Linked DNA regions of Caenorhabditis elegans. The protein of the gene in region 1 purifies or fractionates together with the protein of each later gene. This does not show direct contact. Each region holds a gene or a part of one and is shown on either strand. Other genes may lie near its edges.

Region 1 (4,810 bases):
TTAAGGAAAAAACCTATTTTAAATATTTACCTGTTGAATTCCAAGACTTCTCCACTCTGTTTCGGACATCAATCGATTTTTTGGGATAAGCTTGGAAACATCCTTGGTGACATGAACGTGACGGTACTCGAACTCATCATCTTCGTATTTGTTTGAATAGTAGAAATCATTGTTTCCAGTTGTCATTTTGTTGGTTGGCGTGAGAAGGTGCGACTCTGAAATAATTCATTTTATTAACAAGCATCGGGAAATAGAAACGGACAAAAATAAGGAAAGAATAAAAAATATTGAAAAAAAAGAGAAGAATGGGAATGAGACAAGAGTGAGAATGGTGAGGAACACTGCATGTACAGACAAATCGATAAATGCTCATTGCTGACGCTGTCTGAATTGATCGATAACATCAACAGAGTCGAGTTTCCCGCGTGTTTCAAAATACTCGTCCTTTGACATTGGAATTTGACAGTGCTTGGTTGACCCAGCAGAGGAAGATGATCTGAAATAAAAAAGGTAATAACATGAAAGCTAATAAAATTTTCAAAACTCACTGAACATTCAAAAACGTCTTCTTTTTGTCACTTTGTAAGTTGCTGTCGACTGTCACTGAATTAGAAAAATTAGATAATCAGAAAACGAAAATAATCTCTTCGAAACTCACACATAAAGCTATGTTTAGGTGAAGAATAATCCTTAGAGGAGGTTGGGGATGACATTAGGAACTGCAAAATTGTAATGTAAAATCCACTGAAGATGATCGAAGATGAAATCACAACGAGATATAAAAAATTGAAGGTGAGAAGGAATGATATTCAAAATTTTGCCAGGTCCTTAGCGTCGACAGACGCAGATACACGATCAAATCGACAAACAAATCCTTCGTCAGTTACTAGTACTAGGAATCGGCCACATGTAGAGAAAGAAGCTTGCCGAACTGTACGTGAGCCAACGGAACAAGTGTGAGTCCTGTAAAAAAAAAAACAGGAATTTATACTGGTAATCACAGCAAAAATATTTCTATAATTTTTAAGAGATATCGAACATCTCAGAAATTATTTTTCTTGATATTTTACTTACGGATTGGTTTCTTCATTATTTCTCAAATCGAAAAACATCACAGAACCACCAGCTCCACCGCACACCAGCCATCGTCTTCTTGGATCAACGGCGAATTTGATAAACCATGCAGAACCACTCGGAACATTCATTGTACGAAATTTCGTTGTACACGACTTTGGACGGAGAACATTTCCATGAATGCGATTTTCAACTTCTCCCTTAGGTGGCCCAAATCTCCAAAAATGAATTGCCTTTTCATTGCCACATCCTTTTGATAGTGCGTAGTTAGTACCGATAAGAAATCGAATGCAATCCACATAATCAGAATGCATATCAGTTGATACGGAGGATGGAGTATAAATTGGAAGAAGGCAGCTCCTGAAAAAGAAGAAAACGATAGAACCAGATTCGTTGAAACAACTTTAAAAAAGTAATGGATGCCGAAAATCAACGTACGGTCGGGGTATGAGCTCTCTGTGAAGTTCGAGCAATTGATCTTCTTCTTTGTCGGGAATGTTGCGAGAAACTGCAGACTTTCTAAAAATACAAAAATGAATTACATTATGATTTGATAGCCCTGGTCTCTTTATTTACCAGTCTTTTATCCAAAACTCAAGTTTCAAAAATATTTTTATATACAACAACAGCAACAATTTTCGCGTTAAGGACTGATCAAATACTAGAAGGAACTAGAAAATGTTAGCTGAATAATTGATTTACCTCATTGTTCCTTTCGAAACATACGGAATATCTTGTGATTGTGTTAGCACATTTATTTTATCTTGGTGAAGAGCTTTGCACGCTCGTTCCAAATGTTCCTTTACTTGTTTCACAGATAAATCCCACTCCATGAGTTGATGATCGAATCCACACGATAAAATGAAGTCTCCGTCGGTTGACCAATCCTAAAATGAGAAATTCGAAACGTAAGTAAATTTAATAAACCAACCACAGAAAGAATTGTTCCAGCATGACACTCGAGACCCCCAATAACAATCAGACATGCTTCGTTTCGAATATGATGAATCCGGATAGATTGATCTGATGAAGCACAGACAATCAGATTTGAGTTGGCAGGACACGTACGAATGTCATTGATTTCCCATCCAACACTCCGAAGACGCTAAAACTCCAAATTATTTCAGTAATTTTTGATTATTTACATTCGACAGCTTCCTCGAGACGTAGTCGATAACGTAAATGTGACCCAAAGTTCCACCCGTTACAACTTTAAAGGGATTTCGGTCGTTTTCAGCTTCATATGTGTCGTAACACCAGGTAACAGTGAAGAGCGACTCCTCTCGTTCGACCTTTGATGATTTATCGGTAGGAAAATTACAAGACCACTGCAGCTCAATGTTATTTATGTCGATGGGAACAGAATACATGTGAAGCTGAAAAACAAATATTTATACCTCATTGTCAGTTTCCTGCTAAATAACGCTTACAAAGCTTCCTCCGACAGTTGCAACCGCTTGTTCCTCATCTATTCCTGCGTATTGATTGAATGCACATCCGTAAATAGCTTTCTTCTGATCTTCAAGTAGCTTGGCAGTTAGTACAAAAGGTCGTTTTCCGTAATCCTCTGTACTTCGATCAAACCCGTGAAGATTTAATGATTTGAACTTTTTCGTGTGCTCCATTCAGGTTTTTGGGAAAAAGGCAAGAAACAATATATAACAAAATAAAAACTTCACAGTAAAAACATAAAAAAGTCGATTAACTATCAAATTTGCAGTGAAAAAGGAAAAAAATGACAATAAAAACAACAGAAAAACTAAAATATGGCCGCTCGCGCGCATTTCTCGTTCAAATTGCATTAGTGGTGAAAAGCGCGGCGAGACCCAACGAGCGCATAACCTCATGCACCTTTAAAGTGTTATTTTTTTATTACAATTTTTTGTTCTCATTTTGGATTCTGTTCGAAAGTTCCGGGAGGTATTTGTGATTTCGATTGGGAATATGATAGAAAAGACAGTTGCCAGCTTAAATTTTGTATTGTCGTGAAGTACCACTTCCAATTTCGGAGTGGATTCGAACGGGATTAAGTAGATTTTGTACTCGGCTTTTTTCGCAAGGAGCGAAACTAATAATTTTGTATATTTTTTTTGTATGATCCTATATTGCTACGTGAGCTATTGTCAGTTAAAAAAAATGTTTTTGTGGTCTTTTTCAGATTTCAGAGCGATCAACTTGGGGGTATTCATTCATATTTATTATTTAGTAAAATTGTCCTTATATCAAAAGATCCACTTTGTGAATTCCGTAGACTTCTTTCATTTTTGCTATTTCGAATTTGTCTTCGTCGGCTGCTGACTCATCCATATCCCTGCGTCTCCAATGCCTGATTCTCTGCGTCTTGTGTGATTTTTTGTTGCTTCAACCTGTTCTTCTAGCGGTTGCCTTTTTCTCATGCTGTGACTGTTCCCGTTCATTACTAATTCTTAATTTCATAATATTTTAGTGTTATCGTTTTTTCTTCAATTTTTTAGCCAAAATGTTATCTCGAACGAGCTATAGTTATTTTCAGATCGCCTGTATGAAATATGACATGAACCATCGCAAAAATTCTGATGATACTCCACCGGCGTCTAGGACCGTCAAAGAAATGATGGCAGAGTTTCAAAATAAACTGGACGACGGAGACAACAGATTCCGGAAGCAACCACCACCGCCACCTTGTGAGTCTGAAACAGAGAAGACGTCTTGTATTTACTGTCGACAATTGATTGAGGCGTAGCAAAAAACTTCGTTTGCTTTGTTATCTGTGGAGAAAATAAAAGTTACGAAATTTCTTGAAAAAAAAAACTAAAAAATAATTTTTTTAAAAACTATTTATGTCTGTATTTATTGATAATAACTAAATAGATCATATGATCATAGTATTGAAAAAGAGAGAACCGAAAATCGGGTTGACAATGATTCTGTGAGTTAAAAAAAACAGTCAATTTTTCGAAAAAAAAATCTGCCTTAAACTCCACCAACAGTGAATCGAATTAATTTTTAAAGGAAATTAAGTTCTCATTTCAATTTATATATTCGTTGTTAGAATCTAGACGAAAATTCATAAATATTTTGTTACTATCATTTTTTTTTCTATTAACTTTTACAATATCGTAGAACAACTGATTTCCGTGTTAAAATTGTTTTTTGACTGTTCTTCTTCCTATTGCTTTTTGTTAACGAAAAATGCCCAATTTTCTTCAAAGTTCCTATCAAATCTGTACAGACGCGTGACCGATTGCGAAAGTAGTCAAAAAGAAGTATAAAGGCTTTTCGCAATATTGTTTGCCTAAAGGTGCCACTTGACAGATTTTACTCCTTTGTCGCCAAGAAGTGTACTAGTAATAAATTTTAGAAAATTGGGTTGTGTCCTTATATTAATTACTTGGATTATCGCCAACATTTGATTAAAATAGTCATTCTTGTGTGAACACTTGCCAAAAATATATTCACTATTTAACTTCTGTTGGTATTATTGTTCCACCCCCCGGAAGTGACCAATTTTCCGTCTGCCACTGTGTGTGCCTAGTGGTATGACTCATTTATTGAAAGAAAAACAATTATTTTATCATCTCTCAAAATGAGTGAAGCAGATACAATTACAGCAATTAGATAGTTTAAATATACCTATGAGGTTAACAGATTGGAAGATTCATTTTTAAAACAATTTTGCAGCCCCAAGACGAGCTCCACCACCGCCTCCTCATCGGAAACCTGCATCATTATCTCCACCTCCAGACGATGAGAATAC
Region 2 (7,961 bases), on another chromosome or scaffold:
ACTTGAAAGTGGATAGTACAAATAGTTGTGTAAAATTATAAAATTTCCAAAATAACAGAAGCTTCACAACATCCATGGAGTGTGAGTAGAAAGAAGAGTTGTAGAGCAGAGAACAATCAAGGAAAGAACTTATAAAATGGATAGAAAAAAACTTAAATGAAAGAAAAAGAAATGAAGAAAAACTTAGTGATGACTCGTGTAATCTGGAAGATCATTGAAGTACGACGTTCTTTGGGTCAAAAGGTGCTAAAAATTGTAGTATTTTTGGGATCAGCGGTGGGTGGAAATTACTTTTGGCAATTCCATAAATTGGCCAATATTGTTCATTAAAAATTAGTCTCAAAATAGAAAATTAATTTATTTAAAAATATGAAAATAACATTTATTTCAGCTGAAAGATTTGAAAATTGCACAAAAATAGTCTGAAAGTTTCCAATTGCCGAATAGCAAAATTCGACAATTTCCAACTTCCAGGTAATTTTTAATCATTTTTTCAAGTGTTTCAACTGAAACAAATGTTATTTGCAGAAGAATCAAATTATTTTCTATGTTTTCAGACTAATTTTTAATGTCATTTAGTAGAATTGCCACCCACCACGATTTGGTATAGTTGATTGATAAATGGAAAAGAGATTAAACACAGGATTTCCAAAAAGAAAAAGATACAAGGAAAAAAGGGGATAATCTAATTAGAAGATGGTATATCTCGTTGGCGATTTTTCCATTCTTTTTTCAATTGCTTATATCGAACCATGGGCAATTCAAAATCTTCTAATTTCCAGTCAGGGCTGACCATAGCGATGAGATTTATTTGTTTCTCGAATAAAGAATTCAATTTCATGTCGAAAATGTACTGATGGTATTTGTTGATGAAGCCAGTCTGAAAATTATTTATGAAAAATTCAAAAATGCGTTCTAAGTTAAGGCAAATCTTGGCAAAAGTGTTGAGATGCTTATTTTAGTACGCTAATTCATTTTTTGTAGAATCAAAGACTCTGAAAATAATTTTCATTTTCGTTGAAAAGAAGTTTAAAGGTTTTGATTCAAAAATACTGTACTAAGCAATTCCGTACGTTTGCCAATCTAGTCCTGAATGTTCAATAAACTCACCAAAACTCTAGATTTCCATTGTGCTGAGAAGCATCCAGGGCGTTGTCCAGCTTCAGAGTAGAAACTTCAAAAATTGGGTTTTAATATATGACTTAATATTATAACACTTACTGTCTGCATAGAATATTGAATAGTTCAGTTTTTCCACTTGGGAAGAATATTTCTGAAAATGTCGATATAGGACATCCTTCCAAATCCAAACTTAAAGTGGTATTTCCGACTGTTGGAATAGGTTTTCTGGGTTTAACCGCAAAATCTTTGACATTCATCACAGACATCTTTTTATTATATTCGTCCGTTTCCGTCTTCGTTAGTGGATAGTCAAGAATTGTCATTTCGCCATATTTTTGAGCATTCTTCGGAAGATTCAACTGAAATTTGTAATTTTGCTTTAATTTTTTTTGTTTGCGGCGACAAGTTTTTTTTAGTGTTCAGTGCAGGAATCACTAGAATTATCTGAAAATAACTTTTTTTCAACTAAAACATTCGAGAAAGTGTTCAAAATTACCTGAAATTCAATAATTCGATAATTGGCAATCAGCAACTTCCAGGACATTTTTTGAGTACTTTTTCAAAATTTTCAGCCAGAATAAATGTTATTTCCAGATAATTCGAGTGTTTTTCTATATTTTGACATTAATTTTAAATACAAATTGTTGGAGCAACATGTCACAATAGAAAATTTTTAATATCGTAATCAAGGCTGGGATTTTTTGTTTTTTTTTTCCTGTTTTTGGAGTCAATTCAAAAAATTCAAAAAATATAATGAAAGGTTCTCAATTTTTCCTTTCTCACTTTTTTTTTTTTTTTTGGGTTTTTGAGGGAAAAATAGATTTCGCCTTCAGGAAACAATTTTGTTCGCTTTTTCAGAAATACATACAAATTGCTTCTAAAAAGAAAACAAATTATGCAATTTTTTCGAAATATCGGAAAAAAGAAAAATCTTAAAGTTTTGTTTTATTTTTGCAAAAATCAGTAAATCGAAACAAAAAATTCCATTTTCGATTTTAGTGAAAAAAGCGAAAATTATTACAACTTTTATGTCTTTTTTTTAAAAACAATTCTTACTTTTTCTTTTCTCAGGAACTCAATATCTGAATACATGTGAGCATTATTCATCGGATATGCTTCCATAAGACCTTCGATTTTTCCATTTTCTTCGCCATTCAGCTGGGGCACTAAGTCATTTGCTCTGCAAATCATATATTTTTTTACTGGATTGCATTAAATCAAATTACCTGTTCATATAAACATAACGAATATATGGCATATGACCCGAAGATTGTATAAAATCTAATCCATATTTCCGTGTTCCACCTGGTGCTCGATTTCTCGCAGAAAAACATGGTGAATCATCTGAATCATCTTCAATCGTAATAACCTCAATTGGAACGGAAACTGGAGTTTCTTCTCTAACTCTGATCACTCGGGTAGGTTTTATTGGAATGCTTCGTTGAGTTCCAGGACGGTAGGAACACGAATTTTCCAGCAAAGTGACACCAGTTTCATTGAAATATGAATTGATCTGAAATAATTGCACTTAAGCTTTGAAATTATAGTTTTTTAAGAATTACCTTCGTCGGATCGACTGAAAAACACGGCCATCTTGAAGTGAGTCGGGTCAAATGTCTCTTACGTCTTCCGCATAGCTTTTTCGTTCCAAGGAGTAACTGCTTGAGAGTGATTGTACTGTAATTATATTTTCTAAACAATTTTGAAGAACAGTTAGATGATCTATGGTTGGATAGAAACATGAAGTTCCGCGAATATCCAATGTAGTGAGTGATTAACTATAAAATTTAGATGATTTTTTTTGAAGTTCTATCCGGTGTATGCAGATTGCCTTCTGTAATTTTGGACAAAACCCCCCAGTTTTAACTCAAAAATTCTGAAATGCAGCTTCACGGTTTTCAAAAATCACGACAAGCTATTTGGAAGGTATCAATTACAGCCAACTAAGAAAAAAGAAGAAATGCACCCGAAATTAGAAATTCTGTAAGGGAAAAAATCCAGCAAACTTAGTGATTTAAAAATTAGATATTCAAACAAAAAATCAGGTGGTAGGGATCAAAAACGAACTCTTCATATTGCGATCCACAATCCTCATCGCAACTCGTTCCTGGCTCGACGGAGATTCTGAAAATGATGGAAAACACAATAAGCGTGCGGGATTACGGTCGTGCAAAAACCAGATAAAAACAAAATTAAAAAAAGAGAAAAAATCGAATTTCTCACCCAGATTTTAGTGTCGTCCTTCTGGATCGCGGCTGCCATGGAGAGAATTTTGAAATGTCCGGTCTATCGAAATAATTATGAGTATTTGAAGAGAAGATTAGACGAGCGAGATGAGAATCCTGTAGAAAAAAATCAATTATTTATAAAAGTTTATTAACTCTTCATCGTTACCTCTTTGTTATAATTTGTATCGCTTATAAACTCCAAATGCTTAACATTATTCATCCAAGCATTCTCGAGTTCCGGTTCATCGGCCTTCCCGAAAATTTTCAAATACGCTGGCTTTTCTTCTCGATCACTGGAAAAATCAAGAGCAATATTTTTCATTATACAATTTTTTTTGAAAAAATATTTTCTACCGTATACCCGTCAATTTGAGCGCGTGTTTCTCGAAAAAAAATGTTTTTCAGTTTTTTATTTATTTTGACAACAGTTTTCGCTCAAAATCTTCAGAAAACCCCCTTTTTAAAAAATTAGCAGGCCAGTTTAATTTTATAGATTCACCTTCGGATAAATTTTGGAAAAAAAAACTTTTAAAGTATTTTAATTTTTTTTGAATTTTTAAGTTTTTAAATTTTTGCATTTATAATTTTAAAGCGACTTACAGTAAGATAATACGTTGAACTCCGTCATTTAGGCAGTTAATTTCAGCATCCTTATCATACATCAAAGTGCACCCAAAACGAACAAGTTGCTGAAAGTTTTCTGAGGAAGCAGCCGTTTCGAATGATGCTCGAGTTGATTTTCCTCCTACAAAAGAAACTTTTTATTTAAAAAAAAGAAATGATTTCACTCACTTGTCCCAACTCGATTTTCTCCAAGTTTTGGTGTTTTTCGTTTCACAATCACTGCGAGATATACGTTTTTTGCCTTTTTCAGTTCAGGGCCCGTCAAAGTGATATTTTTTACATTTGAACTGTTATAGGAGATAGATGGTAACGTTCTATTCGCCATTGGAATAACTGAGATTCCATTTTCAATGCAGGTGACTGAATCATTATCGTCGACAATTATCACGTAGCTTTGAACAATTGCAGCAGAAGTAACATCTGAAAATGTTCTTTTTTTTAATGAATTAATGAGAAAATAATTTTAAAACCGAAAAAAACTATGTGTGTGTGTATTTTTGAATCTTAATTTACAATTAGAAAATAATTTCATTTTTTTGGAAATATTGTTCTTACTTTTTGAAAAAAAACCTCAAACATTTCAAAATCATTAAATTTGCTTTAAACTATAGGAAAAAAATAATTTTTATAAATTTTGTGTGATTTTAGGAAATTGCAAAAACTGAAAAAAAAAGCGAATTCCGACATTTTCGCGTTTTCTGGCTATATATTTATTGAGTTTAATTCATTTTTTGTTTTATAATGCAAATCAGAACTTTTCAATTTTTTTTGACTTTTTTAATTAAAAAAATAATTTTTTTTAAAACCAAATTTCAAAAAGACTTTTATTTCTTGTGAAATATGGTTTCAATCAATATTGAATAGATATTTTTAGTTCAAAGTGATTTTCTGTTGGTCTTTTTCGAATTAAGTGTTTTTATCGAGATTTCGTTTCAAATTTTTCAAAATTTTCAAAAATAAACTAACAAATCTTCTCATCCATCGAACTTCCCCAGGAGGATATTTTCATGAATTGTAGAGTACAGAAATTATATAAACCATTTTCTCTGTGCTGAAAGAAAAATTTATTTTGCAAATGAATCCATCAAAAATTCAAACAAACCGCATCGGTCTTTAGTCGCGGGAAAAATTCATCGATGCTTTTAATCACACGCCTTCTACACACATATTTCTTTCCAAATAATAATTGTTTGTCGAAGACATTACGAACGAGAAACTTGTTATCTTCCGGCAATCCATATTTTTTCACATAATTGCGAATTTCAACTGAAAAAATGTGAATTAATAGAAAAATTGAGATTTTAATTAATGATTTTTAAAACTAACGTCCGTCACTGCAAGTCGGCAACGTTTTTTGAATATTTTCTAATTTGGTAGGTGGATTCTTTCGTCTACTGGAGCTTGTGACTGGATTTGAAGATTCCCGAGAACTTCCGGCCTCTGATGAAGTTGGAGTTGACGGAAGAGATTTGTTCAAAAGATTTTCTTTTTCTTCTTCTCGACGAGCTGACCTCGATTGTTTTGTCTTGATAAAAACCGGCTCATCTGCAAAAATAAGCTTAAAGTATTAATTCAAAAATGCTAAAAATTACTATAATTTGACAGAAAAAAAATTAATTTCAAACTATAGACAATTACTTTATTGATCTGAAAATAACATTTATTTCATTTATTTTAGCATAAAATTTTGGGAAAGTGTTCAAAAATGGCCTGAGAGTTGCCAATTGCTGATTAAACGAAACATCGAATTTCAAGCCATTTTTGAACAATTTTTCAAATTTTTTCAGCTTAAATAAATGTTATTTTTAGATAATTCAAGTAATTTTCTATTTTTTGACACTGTTTTGTAATAAAATATGATGGAACAAAATGGCACAATAGGTAATTTTGTAGAATTGCCGAAAATAATTTTCACTGGTGGAAAAATTAAGAAAACAGGAAAAACTTTAATTATAATAGTTTAAATTACAATTTAAACAAGAAGTTAAATAAAAAGTTTCAGGCCGAGTTTCTCGAATAAAAAATTAACTATTTTTAAAGGTGAGCGTTGTGTTAGAATACGCGGGTCTCGGCGCGATTGGGATTTATGTTTCAAAATTAATTAAAAATTGATTTTAAGAATTTGATTTTTGTAAATTCCAGTAAATGTCCTATTCTCCAACTAACCATTCTTCCGTTTTCTCCCTCCAACTTTCACCTCTGCCGTCGCCGGAGTCATACCCTGCAATGATTTTTTGTGTTTTAAAATAGTTTAGCAAAGATCGAGATTATCGATTTATCTCGAAATCGCCAATCAGAGAGAGAGAGAGAAAGAAAAATGTGAAACGAACAGCGCAAAAAAGATATAATGTCAGATGAGAGAGACTTCGTTCTGGGAAACTGAGTAGAGAGTATGTCAATTGAGGAGACGCAGAATAAAAAAGAAATTCACATCATATTCAGACAGACGGCTGGTTCGATAAGGAATCGAATGAAGGAATGCGTGGTTATTGCCAGTCAAACAATTTGTTCATTAAAAAATTATACCTATGAAGATTTGTAAAACTTAATGGTTGATTAAAAATGTACCGTAAGAACCTTTTTGCAAAATTAAAAAAAAAATTTAGAAAAGTTCTATGCATGTTTAACATCTATATTTGGTTATTACGGTCCATTTTCTGTCATTTTGAGCAAATTTACAAAATGACTATACTTTATTTTAATTTTATTAACTTTAGGATTATAAAAAATATGTTTGGCTTGATATTTCACAGATATTTCGGATGAATTCTCAATAATAATTTTATTTATTTAAATAGAATTTCAAAAAATGTACGCTCTTTGTTTTTAGAGCCATGAACAACGCGTAGAGGTAGAAAGCGAGCAATGCACTATGCATGTGCTTAAAAACTTTAAATATTAAAAAAATGAGTCATATTGGTCGCGTTCAAACAAGAGCGGAGAGCACGACAAATCAATAAAAGAGAAGGAGCGACGCCTACTCGAGGGAAAGGAAGAGGAGCGTGCGCATGTCTCCGCGTTCGAGAGTTTGGAATTATAATTTGGAACGGATGAGAGACTGAAACCAACGAAATTATATTCCAAGTTTTACAATGAAATTAAAAATATGTCAATTGAAGTTATAAGTTTAAAGAAAAAGGATTCAATTGTTGATTTATCGAAATCACGCTGTCATACATTTTCATTGAATGGAAATGGATAAATTGTGTATTCTTGTTCTCACAGAAAAATAATCTGCGAAGAAAGAAGTAGAGCTGAAAAATGTATTACTAATTTTCTACAGTAAACTCAAAGACGCATAGGCAAAATCATTTTGTAATATTATTACCGTGGCGAGACCCATCACGTGAGTGCAGATACAGTGTACAGCGGAAACATTAGGTCATTATGAATATCAAATGAAAGAAATCGATCCAAAAAAGTATGAAGGGTGCGAAAAAAAGAGCAACAAGTGCATTTTTTAGCTGCCCACTCTTAGAAGTGTGCACTTTATGACATTATAAAACTACATCAAAGGGCAATATAATTGATGAGTTATTGAACTAGATCTAGCTAGATTATTGGACATTTTATTACACTTTCGCTGCGGGAAGAGGGAGTGTTCGAACAAGAGATTATTATAAATCTATTTTGAAGGGAATGAAGAATAAACCTCCATTCGATCGAATTTTGGAATATTTGGCGATTTTTCGTGATTTTCTTTTGATAATTGTACGTTCGAAAAACAATAATTACAAATTATTCAATGAAAAACCGCGAAACTGAACAATTTATGGAACTTTAGAACTTTCTCAAGAGGATAACGGCGGTTTCCACTATTTTACAGTGAAAAATGCATTCATAGACCACCAATAATTTGTTTTTAACCAAAAAAATCAAAAGGATTCCCGTAAAATCATGAGAAAACACGAAAAACCTCTACAAACATCCAAAATTAAACAATTTATTAATTGTCCGAGAGGAGTACACGGCCGAGAATCATTTGAA

The links.
Region 2: the proteins of mes-6 (region 1) and mes-3 purify together in Caenorhabditis elegans (affinity purification with western blotting, with the first as the bait; 2 studies listed by BioGRID). This does not show direct contact.

The regions. Positions count from the first base shown.
Region 1 is NC_003282.8:8,509,326-8,514,135, reverse strand, and holds mes-6 (Polycomb protein mes-6), read right to left. Parts: upstream 2,853-4,810; 5' UTR 2,700-2,852; coding exon 2,505-2,699; intron 2,451-2,504; coding exon 2,220-2,450; intron 2,180-2,219; coding exon 2,006-2,179; intron 1,962-2,005; coding exon 1,777-1,961; intron 1,594-1,776; coding exon 1,513-1,593; intron 1,435-1,512; coding exon 1,075-1,434; intron 964-1,074; coding exon 810-963; 3' UTR 714-809; downstream 1-713. Other genes in the region: cks-1 (Cyclin-dependent kinases regulatory subunit), read right to left, coding at 31-186; C09G4.4 (uncharacterized protein), read right to left, coding at 370-496, 549-603, 659-713; FYVE, RhoGEF and PH domain-containing protein tag-77, read left to right, coding at 3,596-3,737, 4,735-4,810. UniProt on the Caenorhabditis elegans protein: Polycomb group (PcG) protein. PcG proteins act by forming multiprotein complexes, which are required to maintain the transcriptionally repressive state of homeotic genes throughout development.
Region 2 is NC_003279.8:4,995,075-5,003,035, reverse strand, and holds the start of mes-3 (Polycomb protein mes-3), read right to left. Parts: upstream 6,198-7,961; 5' UTR 6,193-6,197; coding exon 6,141-6,192; intron 5,520-6,140; coding exon 5,301-5,519; intron 5,241-5,300; coding exon 5,077-5,240; intron 5,026-5,076; coding exon 4,941-5,025; intron 4,395-4,940; coding exon 4,143-4,394; intron 4,096-4,142; coding exon 3,951-4,095; intron 3,644-3,950; coding exon 3,517-3,643; intron 3,465-3,516; coding exon 3,346-3,464; intron 3,247-3,345; coding exon 3,190-3,246; intron 2,800-3,189; coding exon 2,685-2,799; intron 2,636-2,684; coding exon 2,349-2,635; intron 2,303-2,348; coding exon 2,179-2,302; intron 1,482-2,178; coding exon 1,222-1,481; intron 1,175-1,221; coding exon 1,111-1,174; intron 881-1,110; coding exon 686-880; 3' UTR 1-685. UniProt on the Caenorhabditis elegans protein: Component of a Polycomb group (PcG) complex. PcG proteins act by forming multiprotein complexes, which are required to maintain the transcriptionally repressive state of homeotic genes throughout development.